Tamandua tetradactyla: one gene and its partners. The main gene of each other region encodes a partner of the protein of the gene in region 2 in a complex. Links are inferred from orthologs where the notes say so. Each region holds a gene or a part of one and is shown on either strand. Other genes may lie near its edges. The genes, in order: olfactory receptor 51E2, guanine nucleotide-binding protein G(s) subunit alpha isoforms XLas, HTR6 and SCTR.

Region 1 (6,972 bases), on a different chromosome or scaffold from region 2:
AGCTTCATTGTCTTGATAATCTGACTATGCTTTTATAGTGGGCGGTTGGGTATAATTTGTTGTAATCTAATGAAGAGGGAGATGGAAGAGGGTTAAATTTGTTGAGGGAAATATAAGGGAGTTCAATCTCATAGAATCCCCAATGATTTATCCACCCAAATTTCCCGCCCAAGACTTGTTCCGTGAAATTACAGAGGGAACACATCGACCCAATAATTGGAGTGAGATTTCATCTGCTCATCAAATTGCTCAACAACAAAAGGGGAATAGCCTACTTTGAGATACGAAGCATTTAACAAACATATATCTTGTCAGGACTCCTATTCAGGTGAAGAAAGACCTGGGAAACTCTCACATCTCCAAATTTGAGATTATAGGGTTCTATAAATGTAATAGCAATTGGCATAACACCTTGCAAAATTCAAAATAAAAATTTTATTGTATCTTGAACCTAAATTCAAACTCAGACAATATCAAGTGTCATACATTCAAAGTACTGGATGGATACAGGATGTACTAAAAAAAGGGAAGGCATGATAAAGAGATGTAGGAGACAAATTTCCAAAAATCTGGAAAAAAAAAAGCTGTTAGATCATGAAAGGTGGCTGTAAAATATGAAAAGTAATCTGGATTTGCTGTTGACAATAAGGGCAAGGTTATCTCTTATCACAAGCAAAGCCATACATCTTAGTACACAGCAAAGTGTAAATAAGATTTGCAAAGGCTGAGGAAGTAAATGGCAGATGTTAAACAGGAAGCAATAGAACAAGGTAGTTAAGACTTCTGGCCCTGCTCTTAAAAAATTTAATTTCAATTTTTGGCACAGAACCTAGGAATTGTATGACTTAGTTGCATCACCTTGCTAAGGTAAGCCTCATTTCTCCTGTTGTTATAAGGGGACAAAAATGGCACATACTCCATAAAATTGCTGTAAAGACCACATGAAACCTGTAAAACAGTTAACATTGCACCTGGAACACTGAAAAGCACTCAAGAAATGTTAATTAGCATTATGATTAAAGGCTTAGGTAAATTCCCAAGTAATGTCAACAGTGAGGACTGCATCTGTCCCTGGCACCCATAAATTATGAGTTTCATTTTCCCCACTTTCAAAGTTGTTTAGTAGTACATGTCAGCTGAACAAGAACTCCATAATAAAAAAAAAAATAGAAAGTAGCACATTTCTTTCAAGGCATGGGTTGTTTTTCAAATTTGTTTCAATCATGTACCCTCATTGTTTTGCTTAACATCATAAGCATGTTTGTTGCGATAACAGAGTCTTCCATCGATTATTAAAGGCCACATGATATTCCATTATGTAGATGGGCCATACTTTTGTTTACTGTTCCTTATTTTTATATATTATACCCAGTTTTTCTAATATATTACTCCAAATAATGCTGTAACTAGTATATTTTATTAATTTTTTCCCTGTATTTAGGGCTATTTTGTGAGGATTAATTTTCAAAAGTGAGATATCAGCTCTAAAGGATATAACTCTTTTTAAACACTAAAGGATATCACTCCATTAAGAAAAAAATCTTGCTACATATTGACAAATTACTTTTCAAAGGTTTTGAATTTACACTATCGGTGGTGATTCTCAAGAATACCTGTTTCAACACAACCTCACTTTCATTGTGAATTTTCATTAATGAAAACTCTTAATTTGATAGGAGAAATGTCATCTGATTATTGATTTAATATAAGTTTTTTAGGTACTAATTAGACTGAATAATTTTTCCCATTTCAAAGCTAATTGTCACTCTACCTTGTGCTGCCTTACTATTTATTGATGAGTATTGTGGATTTCCTAATTTAATTTTTTATATAATAAAGAGACCAATTGCTTTTTTACTTATGCAAGGGGATCATTATAGCCTCTCAAACATACTGTGGTACCAGGAACAGAGACAGAATTTTAGAAAATAAGCACTGATGGGCAACCAGAACTAAGCTAACATTAGGTAATGATTATATCAAGCCATTAAGGATAAGAGGAAGTGGTGTGGGTGGGTCAACTGCTTCCCACAGTCTGAAGGTCCTTGTCACAGCTGATCTTGAACATGGCCAGCATGCGTGTTCTGATCTCTTTGGTCTTGGCACCATAGATGATGGGATTGATCACAGGAGGCAAAAGCAGATAGATATCACCCATGAGAACATGTACAATGGGATCAAGGCTGTTTCCAAAACGGTGCGCCACTGAGAGGCCAATGAGTGGCACATAGAAGGCCAGAACCACACTGATGTGTGACACACAGGTCCCAAAGGCCTTGGCCCGCTCTGACTTGGAAGGTAGCTGAAGAACAGTTCGTATAATTAAAAAATAAGATAGGGAGATGAACATGACATCCACACCCATGACCAGCAGGATGGCGGTAAGACCGTAGACCACATTGGGCATAGTGTCTGTACGGGCCAAGTTCATCACATCCTGGTGCACACAATAGGAATATGAGAGCACATTAGAGTGGCAGAAGTTCAGTCGCTTGATGAGCAGAGGCAGTGGAAAAAAGAAGAGAGATCCACGGACCACGGCCACCATGCAAATCTGGGCTGTTACTGTGTTGTTGAGCACTGCAGCGTGGCGTAATGGGTGACAGATGGCCACATAACGGTCAAAGGCCATGGCCAGAAGGATGGTGGATTCAACAGCTGAGAGAGCATGAATAAAGAACATCTGGACAAGGCAGGCATCAAATGTAATCTCCCGGGAGTCAAACCAGAAGATGGCAAGAATCTTGGGCATGGTGGATGTAGACAAGGCCAGATCGATTACTGCCAGCATGCAGAGGAAAAGATACATGGGAGCGTGCAGACTGCGCTCAGTCCTTATGATGAAGACCACGATGCAGTTTCCAAATATTGCCATGACATACATTGAAAGCAGAGGAAAGCCCATCCAGAAATGGGCTTCTTCTAGTCCTGGAACACCAATAAGCACAAAGGTGGCATGTGTGAAGTTGCAAGAAGTCATAGTTGGCACTGAGGAGGCGGGTCTGGAGTGGGTGAGGTCACATTGGAGCCTGATGACCTGCTAGGACATGGAGCATAATCAGAGACCTAACCTGGAGACCTGGAGACGGAGGGCCTCTTAGTCCTCAGTCTTCCTTCCTAACCTCTCTTCTCTCCTTCTTCCCAAACTCTAGGACTCTCAGGTCTTTTATCCCCTTTTCTAAGGGATCGGGGAAGAAGGATAGCTCAAATACATTATCAATCACTACCCTCAAGGTTTATTTGAATTTTTAGAAGGGACTCAGAGGGAAACAATGCTGATCTAAAAAATGTGGCTTTGCCAAATTCCCTCAGACTCCTCACCCTGCCCACACCTTCACTGTATAGATACTGAATGGCTCTTTCCTCAGATAAGGTTTAAGAGATACCCCATTGGGAATCCCTTTCAGAAGTGGCTGTGTCTGTTCTTTCACTCATTTACCTTGTTTCATAAGCGTTTATTACATGACCTAACCTGTACAAGGTTGTCAGCTACATGCTGCTGATATGGACATGAAAGTCACTTCTCACCCAATAGATGCCCTGCATAGTGTGAGAGATAATCAGGTAGACAAAAAACCAAATTATTAGAGTATTTTGATGGACACTAGCATTAGGCTTGTGTTTATTGCATGGGAAGGGAGGGAACAATGATCAGAGGACCTTCCTGAAAAAGATGATGATTCTTCTGTTTAGTCTTGAAACATGAGTAGAAATTAGACAGGCAGAAGAGGGTATAAAGAGTGGTCCAAGGCAGTACAGGTAGGGTCTTTTTTTTTTTTTTTTTTTTTTGCTATTTTTCAGGATTCCAGTTCTAAGGTCAGTGGGGAGGAAAAGAAACAGACCAGTAACAATTAATGAATAAAACAAAAATCCTGAAAAGAAAACAAAAACTAAGAAAAAAGGTCAGAAGCAAATCTCTTCAGGGATAAAAGAAACTCATCTGGGGACATTAAGTAAAAGGTAGTAGCTCCCTTAGATGATTTTCCCAGGGATGAGGGTATGGCAGGACACATGAGTCAAACAAATCCCACCTGCTTTACATTTCCTTTTGCTTCTGGCTGGTGAGATCCTCCACACATTAGCTGACTCTGAGGCCACTCTCATTTTCCTCAAGGAGATATCATGCTGAGACCCAATTTTGGGAGAGATATTATTGTATTTTACAATGATATTCCAGGGCCTTCGTCTTTCCTGGGACCTCTGCAGCAAGCCATTCACATTAGAGGAGACATTTTCTTCTTGGGAACGCAGTAGTGTTCCCCCCAACCTCTTTACACAAAGAATCTGACTTCATCCAATTCCTCTCCTACTAGGCTACTAAGTGCCCTGGTCTTTGGAGCTAATTATTTCTAAGGAGCCAAAGGCTTGAATGAGAGGAGCTGGGGCTTTGCTTCTTTGGAATAAACTCTGTAGGTCTCTTCGTAGTGATATTCAGGTTAATGTGTTCATCCCCCCAGGCTTGGTTTTCACTCTAATCTGGGTCCTAATTGCCTCCGGAAATTGCCCTTCCATCTGGCCTTAGTGGAGAGGGTTCAGACACCAGAGGTCTTAAAAATATAATACAATATAATAAAATGAGGATTAATATTTTGACTTGGATTCTCCCCATCTTTTATAAGCAAAGAAGGACAGATCCAGTGTTCAAAGGTCACAGAAGTCACACTTTTGACCCCTATGTGCTCTCTTCCTTCCTCAGAACTTGTTCAGAGACTGAATAGCTACCCTCCTTGACAAACTTTAAATCCCAAATTTGGCTTACAGCTGCTGTCAGAGAGTAAAAAGCCCTTTCCAGAGGCAGAGAATTACATTCTCCAGTGAGATGCAAAGCTTTCATCATAGATAGCTTGGGAGGGATGCTGCTGCAATTCAAACACGGCCTACTAGAAGTGTGTGGGATGGGGTTGAAGAACCTTCCATAGTGGGAGACCAGATCACAAAAGCGCTATGCCTATGAGGAATGGGGCTCAGGCCGAAGGAAAGGGCAGGCATGGGGAGAGGCATCAGGGCGGAGCACAGCTACATTCTTCCCCCTTCTCAAAACCCTGTCCCCATGATACTGCACATAATGTTGACAGATTCAAGAGTCCCTGTTGGCCACAGAGTTAGAAGCTTCCCTGAAAAGACTTCATGTCTCCTTCACAGGTTTGCTGTCCTTCTGCTTACTTTTTCCCCTGTCTAGATCCAATTTCAGCTTCTCTTTGCATCTATATGTGGCTGCTGCTTTATTCTCACCTGCCTTTCTGAACTGTCAGTTAAGGCTCTGGGACATTTTTTTTTTTACCTGTCCTTGGAGATATGGATGGGACAAGACCTCCCTGTACCAGGCAGTGTATGTGGTCTTCAAGTTCTTTTAGGCTGGCAGGAGCTTCAGATTGTCTGACTCCAGCTGAGGGTACACTTACCTAAGAATGATGCAGTCTGGCCATCTCATCCTTTCAGACACAGGCCTATTTATAATGCTGCTCAGCAGGCCCATGGGAGCAGGCTTTAGAGTATAGAAGCCCCAGGGGCTTGACAAACATGTACAGCATGTCTACTGTGTGCCACTCCCACAGGTTTCCCACTGTTCCTGCTTTGAGGAGCAATTGCAAAGGGCCCAGTGCCTCTACCACCATCCCTCCCACATGTAAACATACAGGGGTCCCAATGGTCTGTTTCCCTCAGTCCCCCACATCTTCTAAGCTAACCCCAGTTCCTACAGTCATTTCTTATGGGGTTAGTACCATTCTTCATTTGCTACCCTGCTAGGCCAAATGGCTAACAAAGGCATAGAGTTAAGGACCTTGGCCTTTAAGTGCTCACAGCATTTTATACACCAAGATGGTATGCAGAGGTATAACTTCATAATTCAGAATTGGATCATGCATGCATGAGAGGCATTTAGGGACAGATGATAGTAACTTCTCGGGTCTGCATCCTGACACTTCTCAGCATCACTTCTTAGCTTTGCCTTTGTAGTTGGGAAGCCACTCATCATTGTACCCATTACAGGTAAAGGCAGATGAGGTAAAGGCTCTCTGCCTTTGGTCACATAGATAACTAGCCATAATACTGATGGGAGAATCTGTGTTCTGCATCTTTGTTCATTTATCCATTCAACAAATATTTATTGTGGCCTTACTATATAATAAGCAAAACAGACATCAAAAATCTCTGCCTTCATGGAGATTACATTCTTATGAGGGGGACAGAATGAATGGAGTTAATATGTAAATAAAATAGGATGTTTAGGTAGTGATAAGGAGAAAAAATAAAAGGAAAAGGAAACTGATATGAAATGCCAGGGGAGCAACTGGAATTTTGGATGGAGTGCCCAAGGAAGATGTTATCTAAAGGAGATATTTGAGGAGAGGCCTGAAGGAATGAGGAATGCATCTATGGAATATCTATATGGAAGACCATTCCGGAAGAAGGAACAGACACCAAAAAATGTCCCTGAGATGTGACCACATCTGGTGGTTTAGAAAAACAAGGTGGCCGGTGTGCCTGAGCCAAGAGAACAGGGGGAGAATAGAAGAGAGATGGAATCAGAGAGGCAATGGGAAACCAGGCCATAGAAGACTTTGTAAGATTTAAGGAACGTAAAATGACTTTGGCTTGGACTCTGAGTGAGCTGGGAAGTTATTGGTGAGTTTTAAATAGTAGAGACATGATCTGACGTACCTACAGGGGTCCTGGGTTCTATTAAACTGGTCTTCCCTAACCACCTTATAGACTTATTTGCATTTCTGTGCAGTTGACCAAGCTTTTCTTTCTTCCATTTATTCCTTTCCCTGCCTTCTCCATGCCTCAAGCCTTTAAGACCTAGCTTTAAGCAATGCCTCCTTTAGGAAGTGCTCCAGGATTGTAATCTCTGAAAACAAGAAGAGAACAGTTTTCCTATCAACCACCACTGAATATTTAATGGGCACCTACATCCAGCAATGTAGTTAGTCCATTCATTCATTTGTGCAGTTAGCATATGGCTGGTTC
Region 2 (7,370 bases):
AAGGCGGGAGGGTTTGGTGAACGAATAAGAAGTGAGGAAAACGTTTAGCGCAGAGGGAAAAAGAGAGAAACACACAGAAAAAAAGGTTATGGAGGCCGGTGTGCACCGGCCCCCTCACGCCAAGGCCCCTCAACCCAAGATGTCCAGCCACCTTCCCCTCTGTATTTTCGCGCTGCCCGCTGCAGAGCGCCAACGTACAGGTACCACCAGAGTGCGCGAACACGGAAAGTTTTTTTTACCGCGCCATAGCGCAAAACACAGAAAGCCACTTCTCCAGTACAAGTACACAGTCGGCGGGTAATTTGGGGTGCCGGGGTTGGGGTAACTGGGGATACTTGAGCTGATCATGCACAGGCAGACACAGGATACGGACACTAACACATACCAAACACAAGCTTTCCGAGTCCAAGCAGCCGTGCCAGGCGAGGCGGGGGCACACCTTTCCCGACGTCCCCAACCCACCGCGGCCCAAACCGTCCTCGCCTGGGGAGGCACCAGCCCCCTCCTCAGCGCTTCCTGGCTCACCTGAAGCCCTCGCCTGTTCTGCCGGCCCCCACCCCAAGGCTCCGGGGCAGCTTACTGTCGCTGGTGCCGGCTTGTCCAGCCCGAAACGACCCTCAATGTCGCTCTGCGCCACTTTTCTCCCTGGAGGGCACACACCTCGGCCCCCGGAGCCTGCCCGGGTACCCTCCCGCTCCCAGGGTAAAGTTAGGGTCCCTTGCAGGAACTTCCGAGCAGGCTTTTCCTGCCTTTGCCCGGACCCCCTCCTCCGGCCGCCAGGCCCCGAACCCCACTGGGCAGCCCTGCCACCCCCTCCCGGGCCCCACCGGCGGCTCTGCTCCTAGTGGGGAGCGTCCACCGCATTACCTAGAAGCAGCAGGCGGTGCGTGCACATGTACCCCATCTTCTCAGCCTGGAGTTGCTTGTCGATGAGTCTGCTGCGTTTCCTCTCGGCGCGCTTCTGAGCCCGTTTCTCGAGCGCTTCTTTGCGCATCTGTCTGCGCTTCTCTGCCAGTGAAACCTTCTTGACTTTGGGGGGCTTAGGAGCTTTGGGCTGGGGGCTGTCGGATCGCCCAAAGCAGCCTCCAAAGGCTTGGATGAGGAAGTTGCGGAGTAAGTTGCGCCGGGGCTTGCGGCGGCGGCGGCGGTTCTTCCGGGGCTGCCCCCAGCGGCGGCCTCCGGAGGTCCCCTCTCCTGGGTCGTCTTTGCTGGCAGAGGATTCATCGCTGCTGACGGACTCCTCGTCGTCGCTGCGGTCGGACCTGGGGCCCCGCCGGGAAGCCGAGCGACCAGGCTGCGGAGTAGGCGGGTCAGCAGCCTGGATCTCGGGGCTGGGGGGTCTAAGGCGCTGCATCTTGAGCCTGCTTGATGCCCGGGTAGGGACGTCGGCTCTGGTGACCCGGCCAGCAGGGGCGGCCCTGGCAGCAGGGGTGGCAGGGGCTGCAGAGACCGCGGCAGCGGTCCCGGTGGCAGGGGCTGTAGGGGCGGCAGCAGCGGCCCCGGCAGCGGGAGCGTCAGGGGTGGCAGCGGTGGCCCCGGCGTCAGGGGTGGCAGGGGCGTCAGGGGCTGCAGGGGCATCAGCGGCACACCCGGTGTCTGGAGTGTCTGGAGCTCGGTCCCCGGCATCAGGGGCTCCGTCCCTGGCGTCTGGGGCTCCATCCCCGGCGTCAAGGGCTCCATCCCCGGCGTCTGGGGCTCCATCCCCGGCGTCAGGGGCTCCGTCCCCGGCGTCAGGGGCTCCGTCCCCGGCGTCAGGGGCTCCGTCCCCAGCATCAGAGGCTCCGTCCCCGGCGTCAGAGGCTCCGTCCCGGGAGTCAGGGGCACCGTCCCTGGCATCAGGGGCTCCGTTCCCGAGAGAAGGTACTTTACCTCCCTCGGCGGGAGCAGTGGCTGAGCTTCCTTCCATCTCGGCTGCTTCACCCTCAACTGGGGGTCTCCCTGGCTCTGCTCGCTCTCTTTCAACTGGGGCTCGGGAGACCTCGATGGGCGGGCCGTCAAGCGCGATTGGGGGGCTGTCCATGTTGACGGGAGCGTCGTAGACCCCAATGGGGGCGCTGCCAATCTTGAGCTGGGGTCGGGCGATCTCCAGCGGGGGGCTGTCACCCGCGAAGTGAAGAGGAGGTCTGACAGCCTCTCGGACTGGACTGTCGATGGCGCCCGGGGCCCAGAGGGGGGGCGCGTTCTCGGCGGGAGTGAGGCGGACCGCGCTCGGGACCGCGACTGCTGAGACCTGGGCCCCGCGGTCGGTCTCTGGGAGGACTTGGGAGAGCCCAGAGGGTGGGCTGTCGTACCCAAAGCCTGCTCCCTCGAACCGAAATGACATAGCCTCTTCAGGGAGAGGGCTGGATCCTCCAAAGCCTGCGTCTGCAGACCTGGGGGGTCCAGGCTCCTCTGGGGGAGCGCTGGTGACCCCCAAACCTGGGCTGGCCGGAGAGAGGGCTCCGAGCTGCAAGGGAGGTGGACTGCAGCCTCCCTGCTTAAACTCAAAGGGCAGAGCTTCCTCTGGTGGAGGGCTGTAGCCTCCCAGGCCTGACTTGGCACCATCGAAGGCTTGGGGCTCCATTGCTGCTGGGCCAAAGGCCTCGAGGCTTGCACTGGCCCCTGCACGGGCCCCAGCGAAGGTTCTAGGTTGCTCCTGGGTAGGCCAGAGGCCTCCCACGCTGGGCTCCTCGGTCTGGAAGAGCTTGACTTCTTCGGGAGGTGGACTATGGCCTCCACAAGCTCCAGCTTCCTGGAAGGCCAGGCCGAGGCCCTGGGAACAGGGCTCGGAGACCTCAGGCGATCCAAAGGCCTCACCGCTAGTCTTGACCGGGATGGGCTCGCTGGTAGGCGGTTCGGTCTCCATCGCTTCGGCTGCGCCAGGCCCAGCACTGGGGGCAGCTGCCCCTGGGGCCTCCAAAGGTGGTTGGTTGGGCTGCTCCCCGAATTCAAGGGGGATATCGCGTTGTCCTGACATATGATTGCCGTCGAGGCGGTTGCGCAGGCCCATAACACGGTGGCGGCCTTTCAAGATAATTTGGGGGCCCCGTAAGACGGAGCACCCAACCAAACTAGGGTGAAAAAATTTTTTTGGAAAAAAAAAATCGAAGTACCAATTAGAAAGTTCTCCAACCTCACTGCTCAACCTGGGTGAAGTCTGGTAGTTCAACACTTCAGACCCTGGACCATAGCAGTAGCAACTCTACCGTTGCTGGTGGACTCTTGGTCCCTTCTTGGCCACTTTTTATCCCCTTAGCTGCCCCCTTGGCCCCCCCTTGTCCTTGTCCTTGTCCCTCCTCTCTCTCTCTCCCCCTCTGCTCCAGGCTAGCTCCGCCTGCTTGGATCTGAGGAGCGTGCCGATTCGGTCCGAAAATCGTCTGTAGTGCCCGCTCTCTGCCACCAGGGGACGCTGGCTCCTGGCACTCGCAACCCCGGACTTTGGGTAAGGGGCTGATGAGCGATGAGCGCAGGCCTCCGAGGGACGTTTTGGTTCCTTCCACTCCTCTCCCTGACGATTTGGAGGCTTTCTCCTCGCTTCATCCCTGGCCAGAGAGAAAGCTCTCCCTGCGTTGCGGGACACGTGACGCAAGACGTGGGTCCCGGGCAGGTTGAACGCAGGAGCTGAAACCCTGCCTCCCTGACCTAACCGACTCTACCCCCCAGGGAGGGGTTACTGCAGGAGGGTGTCTCACCTCAAGATACCTCTGAGCCGCAGCCCCCAGTCCCGGAAAGCCCCCGATCCCAAGCTCCAAGTTCCCGGCAGTTCCAAGTCCATAGCGCAAGGCTCTGGGAGCCCGGGAAGGGGGATGATAGCGCATGAGAATGCGACAGGTGGTCGTGAGCCCACCGGAAAGGTGGAGGGGAAGTGAGGGGCTGCCGAGTGCTTGCACATGATTGCTTTTAAATCGCCTTAGGGCACTTTCCATCTCTTCTGCAGTTTTCCTTTGCTGCTTGCCGAGGCTGGCTTCCGTGAAGCCCTTCAAAGTCCCCCATCCCCACCAAACTCTAGGGGTCTACGCAGTGGCCTAGAGCAGCGCGGGCAGGGGGTCTCTCCACGTTTTTGTATAGGGTGAGGCAGAGTGAATAAGAGGGTCTTGGGCGTGCACCACTGAATGCCAGGCAAAACCTCCCGGGAAAAGTCACGGCGGTGGCGGCGGCGGCGCGGCAGCCCAGAACCCGGGAGTGCGGGGCGCACATGGAGACCCCACAGAGTGGAGGCCTGGGAGTTCTGCAGTTCGCACCATTCTGGGGAAGAGACAAAGTGGATTTAGGTCCAGGTTTATGGCCGGCTTGGAATAGTCTCGGAGATTGGCACCTCTGAGCACGCTGAATCCAAAGGCACACACACAGTGCCGCGGCACCACGCGGCTCCAAGGCTCTAGCACCCGCGGCAAGTCCAACTAGTCCCCTGGCCCTTCCGCAGCGCCCTTTCAGCTCCTTTCTTCTTGCTAAGGGTGTCTCAGGGTTACCGCTTTACTTTCCCATTGCTAGAACACGCAGAAGCACCACTAAGCCCGGCCACAAGCCAGTGGTCGCCCGGCTGCGCTATTACCATAGCACAGGGTGGGCTCAGAGCCCACAGGGGTAAACACCCGTCGTGTCTGGGTGGACTCGGCGCGTGCTGTGTACCGCGCCGGGTCTGGGGATCTGCGGAGGGATCTGACCCAGGGGAAAACCTGCAACCCAGGAGAGAAAATCTCGCACGCGCGGGCAGCCTGCCCAGCGGGTAGCACAGACTGGCGAGCACTTTGGGAAGGGACAGGTGGTTGCTTGGTCTGCGGAACCATAGGGAAGGGATGGCCCGCTGATTGCCACATCGGGTGGGCTGCCGCTCGCAGGACGCACCGCCTGGATCTCGGGATCGCTATAACCACAAGCCGCTGCGGGCGAACCACAGCACGGTCCGATCTTAAGTTTAACGCGTCCTTCTTCCTCAGAAGGAGGGTACCACAGCTACCGAGCCCCGACCTCCCCCCCACCCACCGTGCAGGGGGCTGTTGTGGGGGAGGAACGCTGGTAAAGCTGAACTAACGTCTGGGGGTCCCTCCAAAGGCGCTTTGCCTCCTCCCTATGGGACTACATGCTTCCAAATGCCAACACTGAACTCTGGTTCAAACTTCGGCCAACTACCCGCACGCACCATAGCTCAGCCATTTGGGAACCTACTGAATGGGCCCACTGGGTCCCAATAGCCAACTCACTCCCCCTCCAACTCCAGCACCGGGTCAGCCATTGGGCTGGGGTCACGCCAATCAAGTCTTCCTGGCGAATGAGCAGGGGGCGTCCGACCGGAAACCGGATATGGGTGGGAGGTCCAATAGGGGGCGCCGCGTTGGAACGCCCAAAGAGGTGTTGGTAGGGTGGTTGGAAGCCGTTGGTGGGCGGGTGTATGGCCGCCAGGCCTGGGAGGCCACGAGGTCGGTTAACGCCGTGGGGTCACTCTGCCTGACACCACAAGTCACAAAGACTGGGTGGGGAGGCCAGGGGCTCCAAGGGGTCGACCCTTGGTCTCGCTGATGGCGGTTGGCGAACCTGCCTAACATAGGGGACCGCCGCTGGGGCGAGGTGAGGAGAAAGAAGATTTCCAGGGCCTGGAGGTAGAGATCCAGGACCCTGAGGAGAGGGCTTCCCGCCCCGATGCAGTTGTTGACCCCAGGAATGCTGAGACCTGCAAAAGTGGAAGGTCAGTAGACGCTGGGGTTGAGTCCCAGGGAGATCGCGCTGGGGACCCCAGAAGGAACCTTTGTTCACACCAGGCCTTGCGCTCAGCCCACCTCACTTCGGATGGTGCGAATTTGAGATCTCTTTCCCAAGGCATCCATCAAGGGATGGTTTTGGGGCCTCTTTGTGCAACGTTGTCTTGGGCCCGTGAGACCCCCTTTGTTCAACGTTCTTTTGGCTTATCTTGGTTATTTGACAGGGGAGCACATACATGGAGGGGATCAAGGCTGGGCAGATACCAGCCCCCCCCCAAAGGAAATAGCAGCATAAAAATGAAAGAAAGACTTCCACTTGGGATGGGGGGAGGGGGGGACCCGGGAAGGCTTGGTGTAGGAAGAAATGGCGTTTCAAATGGGCGTCAAGGATAGATGCCTTGGCTATGAATAGGTGGGGGGATGGGAGCCAGCTCACCGGGAACAAAAGATCCAGTGGTAGGAAGCATGGGGCATGACCTGGTAACAGAATAAGCCATCTGGGCTCTTGGAGGGGCAGAGGAAGAAAAGCAAGGAAAATAGAAGAATGTCTCTGAGGATGCTGTGGGCTAGGGCAAACACTTTTGAGGCTATTTTTGAAGGAAATAGAGAGGACATGGAAAGTTTTTTTTGTCCTGCAAGTTATGTTTTGAGCCATGTTTTAGGAAGGATTGAGGCAGCATGGAGGAGCCCTCAGGAAGAGAACAAAGGAATGGGTATGTGTGTGCACAAAGGAGGCCATGGCTGGCTGTGACCTTTTAGGGAGTGAGCCACACACAGTCAGGGGAGCAGGATCTCCTGAAATTCTGTGCTAGAAATGCACAAAAGCGGAGGGGGCCCAATGGCACTTGGCTGGCCAGCCATGAGTGAGATGGGGGAAGTGGGGAGGAGCCGGCATGGTGGCGGAGCCAATTTAGTTTTAGACACTGCAGAGTTGATGGGCAGTTTTGATGGAGGTTGTGACACACTAGGAGGATGGGTCTAAGTTTAAAAGAAGGCAAAGCCAATAAATTCAAATTGATAATTGTCCTTAGCAGGAGATGAAATCACTGGATCAGAAAATACTCTCAAGGGGAGAAATATACTTGGTGATAGAATCTTGGACAAAGCCAATATTTGGGCCACTGGAGAGGGCAGTGAGGGCTAAGGGGCAGGTGGGGGAACCCCAGAGGGAAGTTAGGAAGTGGTCAGCATATGAAATCTGCTGATACTCGGGGTTGGAATTCTTTTGTTGTGTGGGGACTATCCTATACAGTTAAAGATACTTAGTAGCATCCCTGGCCTCTACCCACTAGATGCCAGCAGCATCTTCTTAGTTGTAACAACCCCAAAATATCTCCAGATATTGCCAAACATCCTCTGGGGGGCAAAATTGCCCCCCATTAAGAACCACTGCTGCAGGATGAGAAAGGACAATGAGACTTGAGTAGGAATCACCTTCAGATTAAATTAGGACCAGGGAGAATAAATCCTAACACTTAAGAACCCTAATGTTTCCCTTTTTGTCCACTTTTATTTTTCTGTAGTGACTGGCTACTATAAGCTGAAAACCTCACATCACTTGGGCAAGTGGGGTTAAGAGTGAAACTCAACAACACATTGGCTGTGCGGCTTGAGGAGAGACCCCAGAAGCATGGCCAGATATTTGAGGAGCTGACTGATCAGAAAGGTAGCCTGAGGACTGGCTTGGGGATTTGA
Region 3 (7,719 bases), on a different chromosome or scaffold from region 2:
TTCTCTAATTAAAGAAACACTAAGCTTAGCTCGGTGCCTGGCACATAGTGAGCGCTCAAGGTCAGCCAGCTGCAGCTGTCAGGAGCTGGGAGACTCCCGCCCAGGTGCCGAAGCCACGGCCTCAGGTTCACTCCTGATATCAGCCTCTCCTCAGACGTGAGAGTCCCGCCCCCCCACCCCGACCCTGACCTCAGCAGGACCAGCCAATGTCTCTCTAGCAGGTCACTAGAGCAAAGTTCCCCAAAGCGTAAGAATGTGAGGTGAGTTTAGGCGGACGGACACCCCATAAAAAAGCTCTGCACCTCAAAGCGAGAGCATTGTCCCTTTGCAGTGCTCTCCCAGCACCCCTGGTTACATGGAGGAGGAGGTCTCACGTTGATGCCACCATGTCTTTAGCACCCTTGAACGCTTAAGCAAAGAGAAGGGAGGCCTTGGCTCAGAGCAGCAGCCATCCCAGGCTAAACTTTAGGGGTGCTGCCTGGGCCCCTTCTTGAGTTAAGCTTGTGAACATCTTCAATTTATGGCAAGGGATGCTGATTTTCCATTTCTGGAAGAGACGAGAAGGGGTTTTCATTTCCCCCCTAAACAAATTTATGAAAATAAAAAAATGAGTGGGATGATTTAAAGAAGATGTTAAATAAATGTGAGTTCCAGTGGCTTCGGGGTGGAAGAAAGGGGGTGTGGGGATGTGGGGAGTAAGGCAGATCTCCTGAGGCAGTTCCCGGATGCCTGAAATCTGGAAAATGCTCCTTTAAAAGAATCCAGGGAGAGAATGTGGGTGACCAGGGGCAGTCACCCCACCACTGAAGAGCCACATCAAGGCCACAGCCGCCTGCCGAGGCTCAGGAAGGTTCTCCAGCGAGCCCAGGGAGGTGGACAGTAGGACCCCGGCCACCCGGGCCCTGCCCTCCTAGTTGACTGGCCACCTGCAGCTCTGGGCTGCGCTGCTGTTGGACGAGCCTCTCTAGAGGACAGCCAAGGAGGGTGCTAACCTTTCAACCACTTCAAGGCTCACCCTTGGGCCAAGTCCCTAGCTACCAAGTGACATCCCCCATCAAAGCACTCCCACCCTCCCAGAGCCTCCTCAGCCTGAGGCTCCATCACCATGAGCTTGCAGGGTCTGGTCGAGACCTCCCTTGGGGCCTGTGACCTAATCCGCTGGGGTTCGAGCCCAGTCTGTTGTGTCAATCGCCTTCCCTCCAGATGATGACAGGACTTAGGTGCATGTTGCCTACGGTGGCAAGAGCAGCCACTCCACTCCTAGACGCGGCGGGATCTGAGCTAAGAGCACTGGCCCCATTCACAAGCAACCACTGAGCACCCACCATGCACAGTGGGGACTCGAACCTACTGATATGCCCTGCCCTCCTGGAGCTCCCACTCAGGTGGGAGAGGCGGACAACAAACATATCAGCAAATAAACTGAGACTAACGGGATGGGGGAGGGCAGATGGCTCTGCAGCCAAGTAGGCCAGGGACAATCGCTCAGAAGAGGTGATGCAAAAGCTGAGGAGGAGCCAGGCAAGGGCAGCCCCGGGGGAAGAGCACTCCAGGCAGTGGGAACAGCAAGTGCAAAGACCCTGAGGCCAAAGCAAGCCTGGGGCCGTCTAGGAGCCATCAGAAGAGCTGCCAGCCTGGCACAGAGTAAGACAGAGGAGGGAAGAGAGGAAGCTGGAAAGGTTGATGGACCAGGTCATGAGATGGCTTTCCTTTCTTCTTGAGAGCAATGGGGAGCCACTGAAGGGTTGGGAGCAGTGAGTGAGGTGATCACTTTTTTTTTTTTAATTGTTCTGACTCCTGTGCAGAATAGAGAGTAGTGGGTCAGGACTGGAAGCAGGAGGAGCAGGTGGGAGTCTACCAAAGGCTCCCAGGTAAGAAATGACAGTGGCCTGGTTTAGGAAGGCAGCAGAGGAGATGGGGAGAAGTGCAGAATTCCGTCCTGCACATATTTAGGAAGCAGCTCCAAGAGGCCCTGGAGAGAAATTATTCCTAAGTTTCCAGCTTGCGATGCCACAAGGTGCCATTTGCCAAGATGGAATGGAAGACTGGAGGAGGAGCAGGTGGGAGAGCTGAGACGCTCTGAATTCTCTGCGGCACAATTTGTCTTCCCTAAGCACGCCCCAAAACCCGGGGGTGGGGGGGGAGTTCTGTGAGGCGGACAGTGGGGCCCTGAGGCTGGAGTTCAGCGGAAAGGAGGGAACTGGAATTGGTCCTTTAGAGGGCATATTAAGTGATGGGTGCCCAGTGGGTGCTCGAGGCCGCTCATTCCCTCCCCGGGCACCCCAGTACCTGAAGCGTCTCCAAGGCCTGGCTGGGCAGGCCTGCGGCGAGGGAGGCCACCTGCACCGCCTGCCTACGCGCGGTCAGCAGGATCCGGCAGTAGGTGAAGCAGATGGCGCCCGAGGGCAGGAAGAAGGTGAGGCCGGATGCCACGAGCACGAAGGGCAGGCTGGCCAGCAGGCGGCACTGGCCCGGGGCGGGGGCCCGCGCGCGGCCCGGCTCGTGCCAGCCCAGGAGCAGCGGCAGGAAGGAGGCGAGCGCCGCGAGGCTCCAGGCGCCCAGGACGAGCGCCAGGGCGCGCGGGGGCGTCATGCGCAGCTTGTAGCGCAGCGGCGACAGGATGAGCAGATAGCGGTCCAGGCTGATGAGGCAGAGGTTGAGGATCGACGCGCTGCAGCACATCACGTCGAAGGCGGCCCAGAGCAGGCAGAGGCTGCGCGCCAGCACCCAGCGCCCGTACAGGACGTTCAGCATGGCGGGCGGCATCACCACCAGCCCCACCATCAGGTCCGACGTGAAGAGCGACACCAGGAAGAAGTTGGACGTGTTGCGCAGCGCCGGCTGCGTGCAGATGAGCGCGATGAGCAGCGCGTTGGCCGCAGCCGTCAGCGCGATGACAACGCACAGCGCGGCCGCCACCCAGCTGCTGCCCCCCGGGCCCGACGGCGGCCCCGACCCCCAGTCCGGGGTGCTGTTGTGGGCAGGGCCTGGCTCTGGGACCATGGAGACCGGAGATGGAGAACGAGGACGTGAGGCCCGAGAGGGGAACCGAGGACGTGGTTGTGTGAACGAGAAGACAGGGTGAGGGGTCGCCGCTGAGGAGCAGAGACCCTTGGAAGAGCGGAGGGCGGGTGGGCGCCGTCGGATGAGAAAGGAACCCCCTACAGGGAGGGGGCCGGCGGGAAGGTGCGGGCGGGGCCGCCAAGCTAAGCAGCCACGACCCGAGGAGGTGGGGGGGGGGGGTGCACACCGTCGGGGGTGGGGCAGGGACACCTGGAGCAAACGGAAAGGAACTCGGGGGAGAACGTGTGCGCCTGATGGACCAGAGTCGCCTACTGGGAGCGGACCCCAAGTTTGAAGGACGGGGGCGCCAGATGATGACTCTGGGAGGTTGGATGGCCGCCCTCGCGCGAAAGCAGAGCCCCCTAGAGGGGGCGGGCGGTAAGATGGGGCGAGGGCGCCTGGTGCTGGAGCAGAGACCAGGGAAGGTGGGAGCCGGGGCCGGGGAGGGGGGGGGGGTCTCCTGCAGGAGGTAAGCTCCCTGGAGTCAGGCGGGCTGTGGGGGCGCTAGGATCTGGAGCGTAGAGCTTGGGGTCCCAGGGTGGGGAAGGCCGGACTCAGAGCCCCCGCAGAGGCAGTCCTGGGGAGGGAGGACTCAGGCGGGCCCCGCGGGGAGAGGAGGAGCAGCTGCCGCGCCTCCGCTCCCTCCCCACCCAGCCGTGGGGTCGCGGGCCCGGCTCTCCCGCCTGCGCTCGGTACCTGGGGCGCTCGGCGCTGCTCCGCTGCTGGCGACTGCGGCAGGCGCCAGAGGGCTGCGAGAGGAAGAGGCGGCCGCGGGCCGAGGAGGCGGCGGGCCGGGGACTCCCTAAGCCCGGAGGCGCCACGAAGGGCCCGCACCCGCGGAGGAGCCGGTGGGGACCGGCAGGAGCGCAGGGTCCCCGCGCTGCGGAGCGAGTGTTCCGCCCCGCGGTGGGCGGGGAGAGCCCGAGCTCCAGCCTCCTAAGGCAGGCGGGGTCCCGGGTACCCCTGGCCCGTGGAGGGAAGATCCGGGCACCCCAATCACGCGGGGTTCGCCTCCCAGCCTGTGGCAGTCTCCTCACCCCCGCACACCCTTCCCAACGCACGCGTGGCGGGCGCGCAGTCGGAACTCCGAGGAGGGAGCCGCGGCCCGCCTTCAGCCAGGGTCAGCTCCTCAGGGGAGGGGTTTGCCCACCCGCAGCGGTGATCTCCGCGCTGACCGCGAGGCCAAGATTTGGGAGATATTGGACAGATCACCCGCCACTCTTCAGTTGCCATATCTGTAAAATGGGTTCATCATTCCTGGGCTAATTTGAGCAGGCAGGCTTCAAGCTGCGGGTGGCTCCCTCCCCAGGAGCTTGCCAGCAGAAAACTTCCTGTCCCGTAAATGCCCAACCAATTCCCTAGGGATGAAGGAAGTCCCTAACCTGGGGGCGCTCGCACTCTAACACTTGGCCCAGGACAGGAGTTACTGCGGGGTGGGGGGCGGGGTCGCGCCCCCTGGGCGTGACCCCCAGCGTCTCTCTCCCTGCTGGCTGTGCACAGCAATAGGACAGAGTTCATTCCCTTATCCCCTGAGCCCCTAGTAGGTGTCAGGCACTGCTCCAGCCAATTGCCACACTCCAGTGAACAAGAAGATCTCCCTTTGTGGAGTTTAACTTCCAGTGAAAGGAGACAGACAATAACCAAGGAGACAATGAATAAGTGAATTGCATAAGGTGATCATTGCTATGGGAAAAAGTGTAGAGCTTTTTCCCATAGCAACGATCTATGGGGACCTGGGGGGAGGGGGTCTTCCTCCCACGTGTAGAGATCCTGCTACCTCCCAGGGGCTTTATTATATTATTCCCACCCCACCAATAACGCTGAGAGGTAGATGTTAAACTGAGGCTGAAAGGGGCTAAAACTATCCCTGGTCCCCTATCCCTGCCTAGGACACAGCAGCAAGTGGTCAAGCTGACCTGAAACTCAAGTCCACCAAATGTACAGTGCAGAGAGAGAGCTTTGCAAATGGTCGTTACCTCCAGGTAGAAAGTTCAAGGCCCTGCCACACCTTACCCAGCTCTACACCACAGATTGGCAAGAAGGGGGTCCACCCGGGGGGGGGGGGGGGGAAGGAGGCCTGTTCTCCCAGCACCACACCGCCAGGCCTCGATGGTGGCTGCCATGCCCCAAGGAGCACAGTGCAGTCCACCAAGTACTGGGCTGAAAGTCAGGAAGCCCGGGCTTGGGATCCCAGCTCTGCCACCTCCCAGCCATGTGGGCCTCTGTTTTGTCCCATGCAACAGCGAGCAGAGCAACGCAGCACCCACTGGGGTAATCTGTCATTTTCACGGTGCGCTCCGTGTTTGGGACTCAATGGTCCCATAGGGTGAGTTCAGCCCTGTGGTCACTCCTTCAGCCCAGGGATTCCTGGTGTGAGAAACATCAAGCCTGAGAGGGGATGTGTTGGCTGGGATTAAGAGCCCAGTTGGCCTGAATTCAAACCTCAATTCTGCTTTTTGCTATGCAAGCCTAGCAAAGTCTCTTAAATCCTCTACAGCAGTAGAGATGTGAGTGGAATATTTAAAATATTTAGAGCAGAGGAGGTGCCAGGTAAATTTTAGCTTTATAAAATTTAGTACATAATTGGAAAGAAGATGAGTCCCTCTGCTATAGCTTTTTCAGTAATGTTTTATGTCTTTTATCTTTAAAAAGACCTAAAAAAAAAAAAAAAAGAAAGAAACTTAACATTTAGCAAGTATTGGTAATAGATGCAAAGGTGTTTGTTATATGTGATTTGTACTTTGCTTTAATTTTAAAAATAATATTTTTCAAGATACCTGACACAATAGTGGTGCCACCTTCTGGCCATTGTGATTTCTTGAAATCTCTCCTCTACAGCACTCCAGACTTTTTCAGAAGCTCCGCGGATGCTTCTAAGTTTATCGCTTTACTCATGAAGTAATAAAACTCAAAAATTCCTTAATATCTCAGAATAGGGAGGGACATCTCAGGAGAGAGAGGCTTGATTACTTCTTCCACGGGGAGCTTCCCCTCTGGAGGAGACAGCTGGTGCCACAATGGGCCAGATGAGCCTCCATCCTCTGCCACAGACCTCCAGCCCATTAGTACATAGAAGAAGGGAGATGGAGAAACTGAGTTCTGCAGAGGGCATCAGGTGTGCCCAAGGCGGCTCTCACAGAGAGAATAGACCAAACTGGGTGAACTCTGTGAGAGCAGGGGCTTTGGTCTCTTTTGTCACTGCTGTATTCCTGGTGGCGAGAGCAGTGCCTGGCACCTAGTAGGTCCTCAATAAACATCTGTTCAGTGAATGACTGAGTGGATAAATAAACAACACGAACAACCCTAGCCCAGCTACCAGCAGTTGTGGGCCAGTCTCATCGATAATAATAGTAGCTGGCGTCCCGAGCACTCTATGTGCCTTGACCCATGTCATGCTGGGAGCCTGGGAGTGAGGTTTGTGTGATCAACAGTCCCCATCGCACAGATGGGGAAACTGAGAGTCACAGATCTTCAGCAATTTGCTCAAGATTGTACAAGTAAATCGTGAAGCCAGGCGTTGAACCCAGGCAGACTGGGTTTTCCCAGAGGCTTGTAGCAGGGGAAGAAAACTAGTTGGGCGTTGGCTCGCAGGAAGGCCGGTGCAAATTGCCTGACCATCCGAAGAGGGGCCTACATTGACAGTACTGTGTGTCAGTATTAACCCCTTGGGAAGATTTTAAGGCCATCCACTCTTGTTGGCAGGGGTGGGGGTGGCGCACATGTTTTTCTTGTGGGTTCTTTTGGTGGTTCAGCTTAAGCTTAGCCAAGACAAAAACTGGAAGACACTATCCCCACACCCTACACCCACCCACAAGCTTGCACAGCTACCTAGCTGGGCTTCTCTAGTCTTTGTGGCCTCTTGGCTCTTAAATCTGGCTCCTGCCTTTCCCTGGGGTGTTCATCCAATCAGTAGCACCCCTCCCGCGTGGTCCCACCTCCCCGACCCCACTGCCTCCACCTAACTCCGGCCCACTGCAGTCCTCCCTGCTGGTCTCCAGACTCCCCCTCCTCTTCTCTCCCATCTTAGTCTTAATTAAATATCTCTGCTCGGACACCTCCAAGAATCCTCACTGCAAAAAGAATGATGTCAACTCTGGCTAGCATTCCAGGCCCACCACCAGCGGTGCTAACTCACCTTCCTGCTGTATTCCCAGTATGCCTCTTATTAATCTCCTTTATATATCTATGAACTTATACTCTAAGTAGAAGTCAACTATGGCTAGCATTCCAGGCCCACCACCAACAGTGCCAACTCACCTTCCTTCTATTCCCAGTATGCCTCTTATTAATTTCCTTTGTCTATCTACAAACTTATATCCTAAGTATAAGTTCATAGCATATGCAGAGTGGAGCAGCCCCTCCCAAGACTGATCTTACCACCAAGACAGTGCTCCAGTCTAAACCCAGGAAGCCTCTGAGGCCCAGTGCCAAGGACACGTCCCCAGGATACCCTTCCTTTGCACCTGATCTCCAAGTCCTTGGAAGCCCTGCAGCACTTTCTCTGGCCCCCGAGTTAGCCCTCACCTCCAGCTCAAGAGTGCTTATCATTATGGCCAAGGCTTGACCCTAGCAGGCAGGGGGTCACTTAAACCTGCATGCAGACGGTAAACTTGTCTCCAGCCCAATTCCACATGGTGGGTGGCAGGGCCACTATGG
Region 4 (7,950 bases), on a different chromosome or scaffold from region 2:
AGCCTGTGTGTTAGAGATGGGGGAAGACAGACATGCCAGGAAATAATGAAACATTGTAGCATGACAATCTTTAAGGCTCATAAGATACATGGGGGTGGCAGATACATATGGAGATGTAGCCACTGCCTCCTATGAGAGGTGTGCCACTTAGAAGTATTATGTACCTCAGAAAAGCCACATTGTAATCCTGATTCAATCATGTGGGAGCAGCTGTTTCTTTTAATCCTGATTCAATATTGTAGGCTGCAAACTTTTGATTAGATCATCTTCATAGAGATGTGCCACACTCAATTGTTGGTGTAATCTTTGATTAGATGTAGGTGTGGTTCCACCCATTTCAGGTGGGTCTTGATTAGTTTACCAGACTCCTTTAAAAGGGGAAACATTTTGGAGAGAGTTAGAAATGACAGAGCAGACAGAAACTTCAGAGCAGAGCTGACAGGCAGAGAAGAGAGACACAGATGTTGGGAGATACTTGGAGCCCAGCAGATATTATCACGAGATGTTAAGCAAGCCAGGACCTGGAGAGAGCCGAGGGAAGCCAAGAGATGAAAGACAGCCCCAGAGAAGCAAAGTGAGGAACCCCCACAGGAACAAAGGCTGAAAGCAACGGAGCCCAGGCGCAAGGGACCAGCAGATGCCAGCACATGAACACAATGGACAGAGATATTCCTGACCCATCGGCCTTGAGTGACAGTAACCTCTTGTTGGTGCCTTAATTTGGACACCTTCACTTCCTTAGAACTGTAAACTTGTAACTTATTAAATTTCCCTTTTTAAAAGCTGCTCCAGTTCTGGGAAATTGCCTTCCGGCCACTTGCAAACTAACAGAGAAGACCCCAGAAAACTGTCTCAGCACCAATCACCACTTCTGGTTTCCACTTACAGGAACTCTACTGGCACCTCCTTCGAAGGAAAAGGAGGCAGGGGATTATAATAAGCATTTTGCCCTTAATGACTTGCCGTTCAGAGGACACAGATAAATCTCCCTCTTGGGAGATCCTATTTGAATTATTTAAATACACTTCAATTTCAAAATCAAATGTCTGACCCAGAGTCAAACAAACTGAAGGGTTTCAGAGGCTTGGAAATACTCCAGCCACCGTGGGTCAATTCCACACCTATTTATTGAAGGTGTTCTCTGCTGGGAAGTATGAGACACAATCTCGGGTCTGGAAAACTCTGTAAAATAACTGGAGTTCCAAGATTTACACATAGGAAGCCATCTCATAATGATACAAGGACATCCATGAGTGTTTGCAATGACGTGTAAAGCTGAGGCTATAATGACCAGCCCTGGGTAGTTGAGAATCAAGAGTTCTGGGTGCTAGTCCCAGGTCTACTACTAACTTGCCAATTTTGGGCAGGCGTCTCCTCTATGGGTCTCAGATTGTTCAGAATTGAATAGGAATATAATCAAGCATTCTTCCAGGGACACTGAAGAATACTTTACCCAAATGGTGGCTCTTATTTTCCCCTTTGCTATTCCTGACATAATCCTGAGCTATTCAGGAGATATTCTTAAAATGTAATGTAGGCTGAGCCCTAGTCCTATAGCCCAATTACCTGTTGATTTAAGACAAACACAGGGTTACTGCAAACACTCAAGAAGGAGGATGGGGGCGTCCCACAGAAGAGGCTACGACTTCTTCCAAACCTGGGCACTGAATGACATGCTTCCAGGTCATATTTAATTTCAAATTGTCCCAGATGTCCCAGGTGGCATTACCTCAGATTGGGGGTTCAGACTAATGGGTGGGTGCCATCTGACCACCACTCAGGATAGGAAGCTACAAAGTTATAAGGGAGCTGGGAGCTAGCCCCAAATTCCACACTTCCAAACTACTGCTGCTGGAAATTCACCGAGCTGCCTGAAAATTGGGCACCTCCTGAGTCAACACTGATATCCAGGTGGCGGGAGTGCGTGGGTGGGGGGACAGAGGTTGTTCTTACAATCAAACAGAAGAGAGTTATAGGAAAGCAAGGTGTTTGGATGTTAGCAAGAACTTGCCCAGGCCAAAGATTGAAGACTCAGAATTCGGTCCCCAAGCACTTTCCCTGGGAAGTTTCTTGGGACAGGGACTTTGGGGACCAGTTTGGAATAGTGGTGGGAATTTCCCAGACTCTTTGCAGCCCAGCAGTCTGGGTCTAGCCAAGCTTTCATTCACTAATTCCAGAGGGATTCCCAGGAGTCGCTGTGGGAAAGAAAAACAAAACACCACCACCCTGCCATCTTCTCCTTTCTCTTGCAAAGCCCCTCCCTGGATCTGGTCTGTGGGGAGCAGTTGCTCCCAGGAGACTCCAGACATTAGGAGACCAAATCCCACAAGAGAGAGGAGGGAGGGAGCCATAAGTGGTTCCATCACACACCTGGAAGGTACCGCCAGAGCTTTCTGAGGTTTCCCCATTTGCAGCCCGTTTTGGGAAAATTTTAAGGCTTTGGTGCAGACAAACGCAGGGTTCCTCTTTTCCTGAGTTAGGGCAAGATTTTTGCTCCTCTGAGCCTCAGTTTCCTTATCTGTAAAGTGAGGGCGGTAATATTCGCCTCGCAGGTGATTATGAGGTTTCAATGAAATGAGGGAGGCAAAGGGCTCAGCTCACAAAAGGTGCTGCCAGGGGCGGCTACAGAATGTCCATCCTAGGAGGGTCTCAGAGAGGCGCAGCCTGGAGGGAGGGCTGGGGTGAAGGGCACAGCGATTTGCCTTAGAGCTGCCCTTTCCTGGAGCGCAAGCCTTCTTTTCTTTTGGGGAAAAGGGCTATCAGGAGAGGAGTTAATAGAAATTATTGTTAACGGGCAGGGGGCGCTGGACAAAGGGACGCGTACTCACCGTGTGCAGGGCGCAGGGGAGCAGCAGCAGGAACAGCGGCATGCAGGGGCGCATGGTGGCCGGCGCGCTCCCCGGCGCTCCCCCGACGGCCGCCTGCCGGTGCACTCCGCCCGCCCGGGAGCTCAGCGCGCGGCTCAGGATCCGGAGCCGCCACCAGCCGCGGGGCCACGAGGAGCCATGGCTGGGCGGCCGGACCGCGGCGCTCTTTGGTGCTGCGCCGCCTCAGGCGAGGTGGCTGCGCGCTAAGCCGACCAGCTCTTTGATCAGGACGCGGCGCAGCCGCGCGCCTCCACCCAGCGATCTGGCGGGGGCCGTCGGGAGGGCGCAGAGGCTGGCAGGGAAGGAGGCGGAGGGACGGCGCCAGGGCCTGCAGCCGGTTCCCGCAGGTTCGTCCCCGGGGCGGGGGAGACCAAGAGGACACGCTGGCTTAGCTTTCGAGGCTGCAACACCAAGGAGAGCCCCGGAAATCCGGGAAGAGCCCTCTCCTGAGATTCCACGGACCTAAGTTCTGGGTCAACCCTGCCATGGCCTTGCTGGGTGCCCATGGGTAACTTGGGGCACCTTTTCTGAGCTGCAGAGCTCTCACCCCTAACAACACACCTACCTTCGAGTTGAAACAAGGTTGTAAACTAGTCAGTGCCTCTTACAGAGCGAGTGCTCGCTCGGTAAATGCCAGTTGCATATACTGCGGGGGGGGGGGGGGGGGGGGGGGGGCGGGGGCAGCTGCCTTACACTTTATTTTCGATTTTCACTTAATTTTCTTAAAGTCATGCATGCTCATTGCAGGAAGCTTCATTCCCGTGGGCACCACCACGTGAAGAAATCTTTGATGAAATCTGGCTAGGTGATCCAACGAGAACCATTTGGTACCCCAGGAATTTGGGAGCTGTTCTGCCAATAGGCAGCCTGGAAGCTTCATGCTTCCCAGCGCCCCAGGGAGGTTATTAAGCACCAGGCAGGTATTCCCAGTTGCCTCCTCAGCCAGCATCAGAGCACCCAGATGTCCTAGAGGTGGCTCTTCCCCTGCCAATACAAGGTACCCCAAATAGCTCTTGTAGACCCAGTTTCTTTCTCTGCACTGCTGCCCATTCCCTTTCTTCTCATCCACTGCCTATCTTGATCTCTCTTTCCAGGCACTTTAAGCCCCTGAGTTCACCTACTTCTCTAATTCTCCCCAATACCTCCTAGGTGGTATTAATTGATGAGAGAGAGCACAGAGGGTGGAGGAGGACAAGTGACACAGCCAGGTACTTGCGATTCAGAAGCTCAGACCAAATGCCTGGCTCTGCACTTCCATGGTTGATGCTAATTCCCCAAAACTGACCTCAGGTCAGACCACTAAGCAACCCCGAAAGTACTGTCATGCTTTAATCCTTAGCAGCCTCTGCTACCCTAAGAGACCACTGATAAATAAAGCGAGACTGGTAAATCACAGCAGAAAAAAAGAAAATGCTTTCAGCTCCCAGGTCCAAAATCAAAGTTCAGCACATAACAATCTAAAATATACAAAACCTCTGACTTACTTCCAGTTAGTACTTCCAGTACTTCTAAAGAAATGCTAAGGGACCTAAGGGAATATGTGAAAAGGTGTTGTTGGAAACACTATTAGGAAGCAGAAGACTGGAAGTAATGCACATGGAAGGAGAACACGTAGCCCCACCCTGATGTTTCCTTCCTCATGGAGAGGGACCATTAATACAATGCTCCTGACCTCTCTCTTCTTCCTTATGACCCCCCACACACACACCCACGCGTGTATACACACTCACAGGTGAGGCAAGCTCTACATGACTGATGCATTTGGGGTAAGGACCTGGCGTGCATAGCCCTTCCCCACCTCCTCTCCTTTCGCCCGCATACCTGCCCACCCACAGAAAACCTGTTACTCCCTGCCCAGGACCAGCTCTTCTGCCCCTGCATTGGTCAAGCACTACCAGTGGCAGGGTGGTGGTCTCTCTACTCCTGGGGTCCAGGGATAGAAAATCCATTTGCCCACAAGTTTAAACCATATTCTCCAAAACTGACTAATAAAAGTGATATTTGGCCCCATCTGTCTTAATCTTATTTCTCAATTGGCACAAGATTCAGGCTGGAAAGAAAAAGGTTACTTCCTGGACCTCCTGGAACCCCAACAGCCTAAATGTGTATCAAAAAGCGCACGGGGTTATGACTTGCACTTTTTACTGTATAGACTTCTGTGATGCTTGAATTTTTCTGTAACAATATGCATGGCTTTTTTGATTGAAAGAAATCAAGAGGAAACAACACAAGAATGCATCCTGCGCTTACACAGGATGTTCGGCAATGAGAAGACAATAACGACATTTGTTCCAGACAAGTCAATAAATTTCTGGCCTATGGCAAGCCATTTTTCCTTAGATGGGACTCTGCCTCTCAGAACATTGAGAAAAGGGTCTGAGGAGCTCCGAGAGATGCCCTTCTACAGGCCACGGATGCAATCAGTGCCTTCATAAAGACTGCCTGAGAAAACAGTTTCCTAATAGGGGTGGGAGGGAAGGGTTGGGGAGCTAATGACGTGTTTAACATTTGTCGTGCACTAGGCAGTGTTAGAAATGTGTGATGTACTATCATATCTAATTCTCCAGGACTAGGTGAGGGAGAATTCTTCTCCTTGATAAATAGGACAGACACTGCAGGCTTAGGAGGCACCAACATTTGTCCCCACTGACATGGCTAAACAAGAGGTGGAGCCAGGATTTGAACCCAAGACTGAGTCCAAAGCCTACCCGTACTCTGCACTATACTATGATCTGCACTATACCAGGATTCATCGCAGCCATGCAGATGACTTTTTAACTGTTGGAGCTTCCAAAACTCTTTTGCAGGCATCATCTCATTCGAGCCTCAAAACAACTCTGTGAGGTCAGTAAGACCAGCTGGCAGGGAGAACCTGGCGCTTGCTCAAAGGGTTGAATTGAAGAGAATTTCATGAAAGAGCTATGGGCAGAAGTGTGGGCAGAGCTAAGGGAGCAATGAGGGATGGTAAGGGGTTAGGGAAAAGCAATAGTGGGCCCAAAGGGGCAGGGATAGGGAACAGTATTCCTGGAAGCTGGCCTGGAAGAAGGGCCAACCATTGGAGCTTATCCATAGAGGAATGCAGACGCCGCCACACCTGTGGTTTGGCAAGGGGGCCAGGTGGTAGAATAAGTACCAGGACTTCTCTCTGCTCTTGTCCACTGAGCTCCTGGCAGTGTCTCCTATTAGCTGAACCCCATCAGAAGCCAGCCTGAGAGAAACTGTCCATAGAGCTAACCTTCTGGCTGGAGAAGGTAAGAAATGGATTGGGGAGGGGGTGATGCTAAGGAAGAGTAATCTCACTTCGTGATATCATCATACCCATTTAACAGATGAGGAAAACAGAGTTGATGAAGCTGTAACTCAAGATTACACAGCTAAGAGGTAGAATTGCTTGTACTTAAACTTGGTTTTTGATTTCCAACTGGAGCTGTTTCCATTGTGCTTATACCCATCTCACAGAAATCTAATGATATAAAATAACAGCAAATATTTATTATTATCGCACAGCTCTGGTGGGGCGGTGATGAGAGGGTGACTGGTGGTTCTTGCTGAGGTCTCTTGCAGGGTTGCTGTCAGACAGTGGCTGTAACTGGAATCCCCTGAAGACTTGTTCATTTACCTGTCTAGGCTGGGACCCCTGAGGCTCCCCAAGCATCTCTCCTGTCTCAATGTGCATCTTCAGAAAGGCTGGACTTCTCACATAGCAGTTCAGGGATCCAAAGATGACCCCAGGGGTCCAAAGGTTACCCCAGAGAGAGCCATGTGGAAGCTTGTTGCATTTTCTGACCTCGTCACAGAGGTCACACAGTGCTGCTTCTGCTGTATTCTGTTGCCAAGATGATCAAGAAGTCTGCCCAGGTTCAAGGTGAGAAGACATAGACTTAACCTCTTGATGGGAGAAAGAAAAGGTTCTGGAAGACCACAAATATGGTTATGGCCATTGTGGGGAAATACCATACGGTACATGCTCTAAACTTCATTATTTTAGTGAATGGACCCTAACTGTTATGTTCATTGTGGGAGGGGCAATCTTTGATCTAAATGGTTTCCCAGGTCTTGATTCTAATCTCTTTTGGCTTATCCCACTGCAGTTGCTGGTCCACTGGGATATGCAAGCTGAAGTCATGGCCATCCAAACGCTGAAAGTTCACCATATTCTCATAATAATAACTTAAAGGGTAATTTATCCTGAGGATGGGAGATCCCGCTTTTGGTTCTGGGATAAATTGTTCTTCAGTAGTTTCAATCCAGTGAGGCAATATATATTTGTATTTGTTCAATACAAATCTAAAAACCTTTAAATTAAAATTTTTTCATAGTGCCAAAAAGGAAAAGAGAACTCATCTCTCCTCCCTTTTTTTTCCAGCATTTCCTTTAGAAAATTTTTTATTATAAATCTTTTTTCTGTCTCTTTGAGGTATATGTAAATCTTTTTCAGAGCCAAATAAGTCTATTGCAAGTTTGACATCCCAGGAATGTCTTTCTTGGCACCATCTCCTTGAAATGTGGTTATCAAGGAAGGTGATTCACTGTCTCCCTGTGTCGTGGAAGTTTAGCTTAGCTACTTGGCTCCAGCTTACAACTTCCTGCTTGCCAAAAGGTCAGAGAAGTTTTATTTTTCCTTTGGATAAAGACAGTGAACATATATGTAATGGATTGTATCTGCCTGACTTTATAGAAGAGTGGGACTCTGCAGATTGCCTGTGATATGTATCATGGTCTGATTTAGTTCTTATTCAAAAATAAAACTGTTTCATTCTTTTCTACATTCTGTGGAAAGGATTCTTCAGGTTGTCAGAAGATTTTATTTTTAGCTATTTCGCCAACAAGAAATCATATAATTTTTTTCTTTGCATTTTTCCAACAGCAGCAAATCCTCATTTAAGAACGAATTGAATGCATTCACTTGATGACTATTTACTGAGCACCTACGCTGTGCCAGGTGCGGTGCTAGAAGGAAAGTCCCCTGCAATCTCAGTGGCATGCATAAAGCTGTAACGCTATCACTGCACTCCCCTGGGCCAGAAAGAGGATGGAGGCTGGTGTTCAAGATTGCAGAGGCTTGTATAACCATGCATTTAAC

What was found.
Region 1: the proteins of guanine nucleotide-binding protein G(s) subunit alpha isoforms XLas (region 2) and olfactory receptor 51E2 are in contact, whole or in part, in a cryo-EM structure (PDB 8F76), measured with the Homo sapiens proteins. The link is inferred for Tamandua tetradactyla from reciprocal best matches to the Homo sapiens genes GNAS and OR51E2. Residues at the interface, in NP_000507.1 of Homo sapiens: Gln31, Gln35, Arg38, His41, Asp215, Val217, Phe219, Tyr358, Phe376, Cys379, Arg380, Ile383, Gln384, Arg385, His387, Leu388, Arg389, Gln390, Tyr391, Glu392, Leu393, Leu394; in NP_110401.1 of Homo sapiens: Met58, Tyr59, Asp120, Arg121, Ala124, Ile125, Cys126, His127, Pro128, Leu129, Arg130, His131, Ala132, Leu135, Asn136, Asn137, Ile220, Thr223, Val224, Leu227, Pro228, Ser229, Glu232, Lys235, Ala236, Thr239, Cys240, Lys294, Thr295, Lys296.
Region 3: the proteins of guanine nucleotide-binding protein G(s) subunit alpha isoforms XLas (region 2) and HTR6 are in contact, whole or in part, in a cryo-EM structure (PDB 7YS6), measured with the Homo sapiens proteins. The link is inferred for Tamandua tetradactyla from reciprocal best matches to the Homo sapiens genes GNAS and HTR6. Residues at the interface, in NP_000507.1 of Homo sapiens: Arg38, Ala39, His41, Asp215, Lys216, Val217, Phe219, Leu346, Thr350, Tyr358, Cys359, Phe376, Arg380, Asp381, Ile383, Gln384, Arg385, His387, Leu388, Arg389, Gln390, Tyr391, Glu392, Leu393, Leu394; in NP_000862.1 of Homo sapiens: Arg124, Leu127, Ile128, Pro131, Leu132, Arg133, Lys135, Leu136, Ile211, Gln218, Gln221, Val222, Leu225, Thr226, Lys265, Ala266, Thr269, Leu270, Phe323, Met324, Arg325, Asp326, Lys328.
Region 4: the proteins of guanine nucleotide-binding protein G(s) subunit alpha isoforms XLas (region 2) and SCTR are in contact, whole or in part, in a cryo-EM structure (PDB 6WZG), measured with the Homo sapiens proteins. The link is inferred for Tamandua tetradactyla from reciprocal best matches to the Homo sapiens genes GNAS and SCTR. Residues at the interface, in NP_000507.1 of Homo sapiens: Gln35, His41, Val217, Phe219, Thr350, Tyr358, Phe376, Cys379, Arg380, Asp381, Ile383, Gln384, Arg385, His387, Leu388, Gln390, Tyr391, Glu392, Leu393, Leu394; in NP_002971.2 of Homo sapiens: Arg174, His178, Tyr239, Leu240, Leu243, Leu244, Ala245, Ser247, Phe248, Ser250, Glu251, Arg252, Leu320, Lys323, Thr326, Gln327, Thr329, Arg339, Arg342, Ser343, Leu347, Tyr388, Leu391, Asn392, Gly393.

The regions. Positions count from the first base shown.
Region 1 is NC_135334.1:75,774,965-75,781,936, forward strand, and holds olfactory receptor 51E2, read right to left. Parts: upstream 3,016-6,972; 5' UTR 2,981-3,015; coding exon 2,018-2,980; 3' UTR 488-2,017; downstream 1-487. UniProt on the Homo sapiens protein: Olfactory receptor. Activated by the odorant, beta-ionone, a synthetic terpenoid. The activity of this receptor is probably mediated by G-proteins leading to the elevation of intracellular Ca(2+), cAMP and activation of the protein kinases PKA and MAPK3/MAPK1.
Region 2 is NC_135327.1:26,449,906-26,457,275, forward strand, and holds the start of guanine nucleotide-binding protein G(s) subunit alpha isoforms XLas, read right to left. Parts: upstream 3,005-7,370; 5' UTR 2,990-3,004; coding exon 868-2,989; intron 1-867. UniProt on the Homo sapiens protein: Guanine nucleotide-binding proteins (G proteins) function as transducers in numerous signaling pathways controlled by G protein-coupled receptors (GPCRs).
Region 3 is NC_135328.1:206,667,487-206,675,205, forward strand, and holds the start of HTR6 (5-hydroxytryptamine receptor 6), read right to left. Parts: upstream 3,004-7,719; coding exon 2,290-3,003; intron 1-2,289. UniProt on the Homo sapiens protein: G-protein coupled receptor for 5-hydroxytryptamine (serotonin), a biogenic hormone that functions as a neurotransmitter, a hormone and a mitogen. Also has a high affinity for tricyclic psychotropic drugs.
Region 4 is NC_135329.1:95,985,075-95,993,024, forward strand, and holds the start of SCTR (secretin receptor), read right to left. Parts: upstream 3,014-7,950; 5' UTR 2,883-3,013; coding exon 2,829-2,882; intron 1-2,828.